Linked DNA regions of Cricetulus griseus. The protein of the gene in region 1 binds, or shares a complex with, the protein of each later gene. Links are inferred from orthologs where the notes say so. Each region holds a gene or a part of one and is shown on either strand. Other genes may lie near its edges.

Region 1 (3,812 bases):
GAGCTACCCAGCATCCAAGAAGAAACAGCCACAAGATACTCTTGTGAATCTCCACAACCAGAAGAAAAGGAAAGCTCGGTAGCCTCAGAGAGGCAGCTCAGAATACGACTGTGCAAAATAGACATGAAAGAAGAGCCCACAACACAGAGAAAACCACCAGGCAGGAAAACCAGGAATACCCCAAAAGAGCCTGTGAGTGATAGTGGAAATGTTGAAGAGCTTAAGGAGTCTACAAAGCAGAAGACTGACCCAGCAGCAAGTGTGCCTGCTAGCAAGAGGCCACGGAGAGTCAAACTCCAAAGCAGAAACTGGACTTCACAGGGAATTCAATAGGACGCAAGAGAAGGTCACAGGCACCTAAAAACGGGGCTCAACCCCTAGAAGACCTGGATGGCTTCCAAGAACTCTTCCAAACTCCAGTTGGTGCCAGTGATCCAGTGACTGTTAGGGAAACTACAAAGTTGTCTTTGGAATCTGTACAAGCAGAACCAGTCAGAACTCCAGCAAGCAGAAAGAGACTGTCTAAGACAGATCCTGGGAAAGTGGATGTGACAGAAGAAGTTTCAACCCTTGGGAAACGAACAAAGTCACCAGGCAGAGCCACCTGCACACCCACAGCATCAGCGCTGGAAGAGAGCGACAGCATAGACATTATGGAAACTCCAAAGCAGAAAGTGGACTTTACCAGGAGTTCAAGGAGTAGAAGTTCACAGGCAACTAAGAACAGGGCTCAATCCCTAGAAGACCTGGATGGCTTCCAAGAACTCTTCCAAACTCCAGTTGGTGCCAGTGACCCAGTGAATATTGGGAAAACTGCAAAGGTATCTTTGGAATCTGTACAAGCAGAACCAGTCAGAACTCCAGTAAGCACAAAGAGACTGTCTAAGACAGGTCTTGACAAGGTGGATGCGAGAGAAAAGCACTCTTTGCTAAGTAAGCCAAGATGTTCATCACAGGAAGTCATGCGTGTATCCAGACTTTCAGAAGATGATGGCAGTGGAACCAAAGATTTGAAGGAATCTGCAGCTCAGGCATTGGACCCAGCAATAAGTGTAACTCGCAGCAAGAGGCAGCGAGGGGCATGTAAGAAAAGATCCCAGTCCCCAGAAGACCTGTTTGGTCTCCAGGAGCTCTTCCAAACACCAGGCTATGAGAAGGATTCAGTGGCAGGTGAAAAGCTAACAAAAATGCCCCACAGCTCTCTGCCACCAGAGCCAACAGAAACTTCAATCACCTCACAGAGACAGCCCAGAACTAGACTGATGAAAGTTCATGTGAAAAATGAACTATCAGGAGACAGGATGCTTCCACAAATGTCACAGGAAATAATGGACATATCTAGAGTACCAGAAGGTGAAGACAAAGGCATTAGCACAAGGAAGCAATCTGTAAAGCGGAAATTGGACACAGCTGTCAGTGTGCCCAGCAGCAAGAGGCAACGAGTTGCACGAGCGGAAAAGGCACAGACCCTAGAGGGCCTGCCTGGCTTCCAAGAGCTCTCCCAAACTCCAAGCTCAGCAGTGGACTCAGTGACTGTTGATAAAACCACAAAGATGCTCAGCAAATCTCCAGAGTCCATGGACACAACTTCACAGACACAGCCAGGAAGAAGACTCAGGAGAGTGGGTGTGACCAAAGAGCCTATAGCACAAAGAAAAACTACAAGAGTGTTACGGGGAACCAGAAACACACCCAAAGAGCCTGTGGGTGACAGTAAAGATGTCAAAGAGTTTAAAGATTCTTCACAGAAACAAGACCCAACTGTAAGTTTAACTGGCAAGAGGAGCCAATCAAGGACACTTAAGGAGAAGACCCAACCCTTAGAGGAGCTACCCAGCATCCAAGAAGAAACAGCCACAAGATACTCTTGTGAATCTCCACAACCAGAAGAAAAGGAAAGCTCGGTAGCCTCAGAGAGGCAGCTCAGAATACGACTGTGCAAAATAGACATGAAAGAAGAGCCCACAACACAGAGAAAACCACCAGGCAGGAAAACCAGGAATACCCCAAAAGAGCCTGTGAGTGATAGTGGAAATGTTGAAGAGCTTAAGGAGTCTACAAAGCAGAAGACTGACCCAGCAGCAAGTGTGCCTGCTAGCAAGAGGCCACGGAGAGTACTCAGGGAAAAGGCACAACCCCTAGAATTGCCTGGTCCCAAGGGACCAGGTCATACTGAGGAATCAGCAAATGATGAAAGACCCACACAGATTCCCTGCAGTTCTCCGCAACCAGAACAGGTAGATAGCCTCCCGATCTCACCAAGACGTCCCAGGACAAGGCGAGGAAAAGTAGAGGTGGATGAAGTGCCTTCATTAGTGAGGAAGGCAGTACCATCATCAAGGCAAACTTCAAGATCTCGCAAGGTCCCTGAAATTGATGACAAAGACATTCAAGCTTCAAAAGAACCTGGAAAGCAGAAATTAGAAACAGTCACCACTGTAACTGCCAGCAGGAGGCAGCTAAGAGGACCTAAGGATGGGGTCCAATCTCTTGAAGTCCTGGGTGAATCCAAAGAAATAACTCAAATGTCAGAGCACACTGAGAAACTAAGACATGACACCAATAGCCTTAAAAGTACTCTCCAGCAAATGCCAGTCCCCATAAAACCTCTGAGAACATCCAGGAGAGTGCTAAGGGCCTCTAAAGAGGACACTACGGAAACAACTTTGGAAATGGTGGTGGATACCAGGGACTCTGCAGAATCGCAAAGCAAAAGCATCACTTTCCTGCCACCCAAGAGGAAGTCTGCAAGAGATGGAAGTATTCCAAGAACCAGGGGGTTGCGCTCTGTGACTCCAAAGCAGGAAGCAACAGATGAGAAACCTGCACCTAAGAAACAGAGGACTGCTTCCAGCAAGAGGCATGTGTCACCTGAGCCTGTGAAGATGAAACAGCTGAGAATCATGTCAAACAAAATTGAACCAGTGGAAGAGCAGATTAGCAACATCACGGAAGAAAAGGAAGCCCAAGTAGAAAACTCAGCCCATCCAGACCAGGTGATGGGGATGGACATAGTGGGTGCTTTTCAGGAAGGATGGGGCCCATTTTGCTGCAGTAATTTGTGTGTAATGGGGTTTATTCACAGATAAATAGTCATTTCCTTACTGTTTCTATTTACCATCATTAATAGCGCTGGCCATTGATCCTTAGGGGATTTGCACAAGGGACAAACTCCTTAAAGTTTTCCTGTCTGCATAAGACCTAATTAAAAGTGGCTGTAGTAGTTCTCAGGGACTGAATGACTTGCATGTATCTTTAGTTTGAAGAATTAACCAGAGAACAGGTGGGCAGTGTAGTTCTGTGTATGTGACAGTATTCAAATAAGAAACACATGTGCTGGGGCTATCAAGTTGGCTCAGCGGCTCTTAGCACTGGCAGCTCTTCCAAAGGACCCTGTGTTCAATTCCTAGCACCCACATGGCAGTTCACAACTGTCTTTAACTCCAGTTCCAATGGATCTGACACCTTCATACCAATGCACATATTTAAATTAAAAAAACAAAAACAAAACACAGGTGCTAAGGTTCATATAACCTTGAGAAGGATTGGAACAGGGAGATCACTATAGCATCCCTCAGATTGCAGGCTCTTGTTTCTTGGTGATCATTAAAGGACCAGGGACTCATTTACTGCCTGTATGGTGGACATTCTTCAATAGTATGAACTGGAATGTTTCGGTATGATTGACATCCTGAATTTATAATTTATCAGGGATGATTATTTTTCCATGGGAACAAAGTGGCTAAGGCATTGTCTTGGATATCTTAGATGACTCTTAGTAAATTAATCAATATAAAATTTTTGGTCCTTTT
Region 2 (4,301 bases), on another chromosome or scaffold:
AGAGGAACGATAACTGACTTTGTCCTCTGTGTTGTTGTTTTGCTGAAGCTGAGGGCAATAAAACACAAACCACAAAACTCAACAAATCCACATGGAGTTTATTGGGAAAGGGAACCAAGGGAGGGATAGGTGTTGGCCAAACCCGAACAGAGATGGAAGGGGAAAGGAAAAAGAGGTAAAGAGACACAGAGAGAGAGGACAGGGGAGAAGAGGGAGACAGGAAAAGCCTGGTCTCCCCAGGGGAACAACAGGAAAAAGAGTGCAAAGAAATGAGCTGGCAGAAAGACCTTTAAGTGGGCGGGGTCTTTCTCTTAAAAGGGTCCTTTGCACCTCCATGGAACGCTGGGCTGACTAGGGTACTGCCTGAGTGCATTCTGCCAGGTGACAGGGGCAGGCCAGCATAATGCCTAAGTCCTTATACTCTGCGCCCCCCCACACACACACACATGCATGGGCACCGGCATGCATACATGCACCGGCATGCATACTGCACCTGCACACACTCCAAATGAAGGGCGGGAGGAAGGAGGATGGTTACGAACCGAGCCAAGCGAGGGCTGTATGAAAATGCCATAAAGAAACCTATGGTGAGACTGTCTCAAGTTAAATAAATCCAAAGAATGACAAACAAACAAACAAACAAAAAAACACAAATGAGTTGGGGTCGGCGGGGGTCATGAGTGAAGGACGGGCACGGCTAATGTTTGGGACTTCTTTATGTTTGTTTTTGAGCCAGGGTTCCATGGAGCCCAGTCTGTCTTCGAACTCACTATGTATATGAGAGTGGCTTTGGACTCCGATGCTCCTGTCTCCACCTTCTAAAGGATGGGATTACAAACGTGGGACTCTAGCCGGACGTTGTTGGCACACGCTTTAATCCCAGCACTCGGGAGGCAGAGGCCGGCTGATCTCTGTGAGTTCGAGGCCAGCCTGGTCTCCAGAGCGAGTGCCAGGATAGGCTCCAAAGCCATACAGAGAAACCCTGTCTCGAAAAACAAAAACAAAAAACAAAAAACAAAAAAACAAAAACAAAAAAAAAACCGTGGGACTCCAGTCCCGGTTTCCAACCCAGGACTTGGCGCATGGCGCATGCTCTGCAAGCACTCCACCCTCTGCCTTGTGGTTTATTTTCAATCCTCTTTAGAAAACTTTCAGTTTATGGCCAGCAGGTGGCGCTCGAGCCCGCCCAATACCAGACACCGCGGCCTAAACAGTTCTTTGCTACGCTTCCTCCCGCCTCTACTTCCGCTTCCGAGAGGCGATCCGGAGCGTCACTTCCGGCAGCTCCGCGTGGACCCGCTGGTAACTCCGCCGGCATGGCGGTGTTAGACGGCCCCGCAAAGCCGAATCTGGCGCTGAACCCGCAGGAAGACTCGCTGTTTCAGAAGGAGGTGACGCAAGTCCAACAGCGCGTGAAAAAGGTGAGCGGGCGGGCGGGAGCTCCGGCCCGGAGGAGCTGGCGGGGCCGCATGGGGAGCGGGCCTCTCACGGGCTTGGAGGCTGCGGTTCAAGTCAGGAGACTGGGGCAGGCCGGGAATCAGTGTGGGGTTTGGCTCTTTAGGCCCCCAGGACTCTCGTGGAGACAAAGAGGTAGCACGTGTAGGAGCGTGACACGTCCAGACGTCAGGATAAGTTAAAGCTGCCACACTTCCGCTTTGACCCGCAAATTCAGGCAGGGTTCGTGGGTCACCGCAGCGCTCGGAAGGTGTGTGTGCGCCCTAATGTTGGAGCGCTTAGAAGGCGGGATTAAGATGCAAAACCCCAGCACCGGGGAGGGGGAAGCAGGACGATCGAGAGTCAGAAATAGTGTGGACTACACATTCAGATCACGGCTTAGTTAAAGAAAATAGAGACATTGTCGGACGGTGGTGACGCACTCGAGGCAAGGGCAGGTTGATATTTTCAGTTTCAGGACAGCCAGGGCTACGCAGAGAAACCGTGTCTTGAAAAAAACGAAAAGAAGGGAAAGGCCGGGATTAAAGGAGTGGTGTCGCACTCCTTTAATCCCAGCACTCGGGAGGCAGAGGCAGGAGGATCTCTGTGAGTTCGAGACCAGCCCGGTCTACAAGAGTTAGTTCCAGGACAGCCTCCAAAGCCACAGAGAAACCCTGTCTCGAACCCCCTCATTCCCCAAAGGAAAAGAAAGATGATAGAGACAAGACAAGCTCTGTTTGCCCACAGTGGCCCCTGACAAAAGTTTATATTCCCCCTGGTTTATAGCCTGAAATGCACTGGAGAAAATGAAAGGTTTTCTTTGTTGTTGTTTTGTTTTGGGGGAGGGTTTTGGGGGTTTGGGGTTGGTTTTTTGTTTGTTTACTTTTTAATGTCACTACAGGGTCTACTGTAGCCCAAGCTAGCCTTAAATTTACGGTGCAGCTGAGGCTTTGAATTCTTATATCCACTTACTGAATTTCAGCTAGGATTGTAGGCCTGGGTCACTACCTGGGTTAGAGTATGGTGACAGAGAAGTACAGTCTGCATCGCGAAGGTTAACAGCTGGAAATAGGTGTGAATAAACTCCTCTGCATTCAGAATTGAAGGTCTCAGGTTCAAAGTGACAATGACAGATGTTTGATCTTACAATACAGCTAGCTCCAAAACACATGCTGTACTGAGATGAAAGACTTTCTGTGGGGGTGGGTGGGCATGGATATGTGTGTGTCCATGATGTGCATCGTGGTGCATATGTAGGTCAGAAGACAACCCTTGCGAGTCTGTCTCTTGCACTGTGACCCCAAGAAAACCATTGGCAGCCCAGCAGTTTTCTTTAAGGGAAGAGAGACATCAAACACCTAGCTCTTTAATTACTGCTGTAATAGAGATATGAGTAGGTTTCTGAACCAAGGGGAGTGAAGGGTTTTGAAAGTTTTATTGCAAGCCAGGCAAGGTGGTATATACCTTCAGTCCCAGTGCTGTGGAGGCATAGGCAGGCAAATCTCTACCTCTCCCCTAAAAAGACTGTAGAATTAATATCCCTTAAAGGGCATGGTGGCGGGGGCCTTTAATCCCAGCATTCAGGAGTTAGAGGCCAGCCTGGTCTACATAGTGAGTTCCAGGCCAGCCAAAGTTCCATAGTGAGACCCTGTGCAGTATGAGTTTGTGTGTATGTTGTTTTTGTTTTAAGATTTAATTTATTATGTATACAACATTCTGCTTCCATGTATATCTGTACACCAGAAGAGGGCACCAGATCTCAACGCATGGTTGTGAGCATGTGGTTGCTGGGAATTGAACTGAGGACCTCTGGAAGAGCAGCCACTCCTCTTAACCTCTCAGCTATGTCTCCAGCCCAATGAGTTTGTGTTTTTAAAATATTTATTTGTTGTTTTTGTCCTCAGCAAAAGAAGGAAGGAAGTCTTAACCCTGGAGTGATCTTTCTGGGCCACCTGCCTTCAACACTTTCTGAAACGCACATCTATGACTACTTTACCCAGTTTGGCACTATTAGCAGATTCAGATTGTCCAGAAGTAAACGGGTAAGATTATGTGTCTGAACTCAGCTATGTGTGTTTTTGTTTTTCCATTGTGTGTCATCTTTTGTATTCATAGGCACAACATTGTTACCTGCAAAGTTCACACTCAAGAACTTTTCACAAGCTGGGCATGGTGGTACACACCTTTAATCTTAGCACTCAGGAAGCAGAGGCCAGCAGATCTCTCTGTTGAGTTCAAAGCCAGCCTGGTTTATGTCATGAGTTCCAGCACAGCCAGGGATACATAAGGAGAGCTTGACTGTAAATAAATATAAACTAACACGAGTTGCAGTGGAGTCACAGGAAAATAAATCTTGCATAGCAGCGTGTACCTTTAATCCCAATACTTAGGAAGCAAAGGCAGGCAGATCTTTGAGTTTGAAGCCAGCCACAGCTGCATAGTGTGGAATCCTTCCTCAATAAAAAGAAAGAAGTCATGAGGCTGGGGAGATAGCTCAGTCTATAACTCTCAATCTACAGAACCCAGGTCAAAAGCCAGGTGTGGTCATGTACACTTATAATCCCAATGCTAAGAAGGTGGGGACTTCATCCCTGGGATGAAGCCTCACCCAACTCCAGGACAGTGAGAGGACGTTTCAAAATTAAGCTGGTTGGGCACTAGGGAAATGACTTAATGGTAAGAGCACTTTTGCTCTAAGTATGGGGTGGAATACACACACACACATGGTTTCATAGCAATCTGATTATTACAGGTTATTTTATTGTCATTCCATGGAATTACAATCTGAGGCTTACATGTTACTTAGCACAAGTCTGGTGTCCGCGCCAGAATCAAAACATAGACATTTGAACTCCAGACCCCATATG

The links.
Region 2: the proteins of Mki67 (region 1) and Nifk are in contact, whole or in part, in an NMR structure (PDB 2AFF), measured with the Homo sapiens proteins. The link is inferred for Cricetulus griseus from reciprocal best matches to the Homo sapiens genes MKI67 and NIFK. Residues at the interface, in NP_002408.3 of Homo sapiens: Thr9, Ile10, Lys11, Arg12, Ser13, Pro18, His19, Phe20, Pro21, Ser23, Leu24, Arg31, Gly32, Ile33, Glu34, Cys35, Asp36, Ile37, Arg38, Ile39, Gln40, Leu41, Pro42, Val43, Val44, Ser45, Lys46, Thr66, Asn67, Ile91; in NP_115766.3 of Homo sapiens: Val228, Asp229, Ser230, Gln231, Gly232, Pro233, Thr234, Pro235, Val236, Cys237, Phe241, Leu242, Arg245, Gln248, Val249, Leu252, Asp256, Lys257, Asp259, Glu260, Ile261, Val262, Phe263, Lys264, Gln265, Pro266, Ile267.

Annotation. Positions count from the first base shown.
Region 1 is NC_048596.1:65,233,980-65,237,791, forward strand, and holds part of Mki67 (proliferation marker protein Ki-67), read left to right. Parts: intron 1-289; coding exon 290-2,996; intron 2,997-3,812. UniProt on the Homo sapiens protein: Protein that associates with the surface of mitotic chromosomes and acts both as a chromosome repellent during early mitosis and chromosome attractant during late mitosis.
Region 2 is NC_048598.1:70,205,047-70,209,347, reverse strand, and holds the start of Nifk (MKI67 FHA domain-interacting nucleolar phosphoprotein), read left to right. Parts: upstream 1-1,259; 5' UTR 1,260-1,316; coding exon 1,317-1,421; intron 1,422-3,338; coding exon 3,339-3,476; intron 3,477-4,301.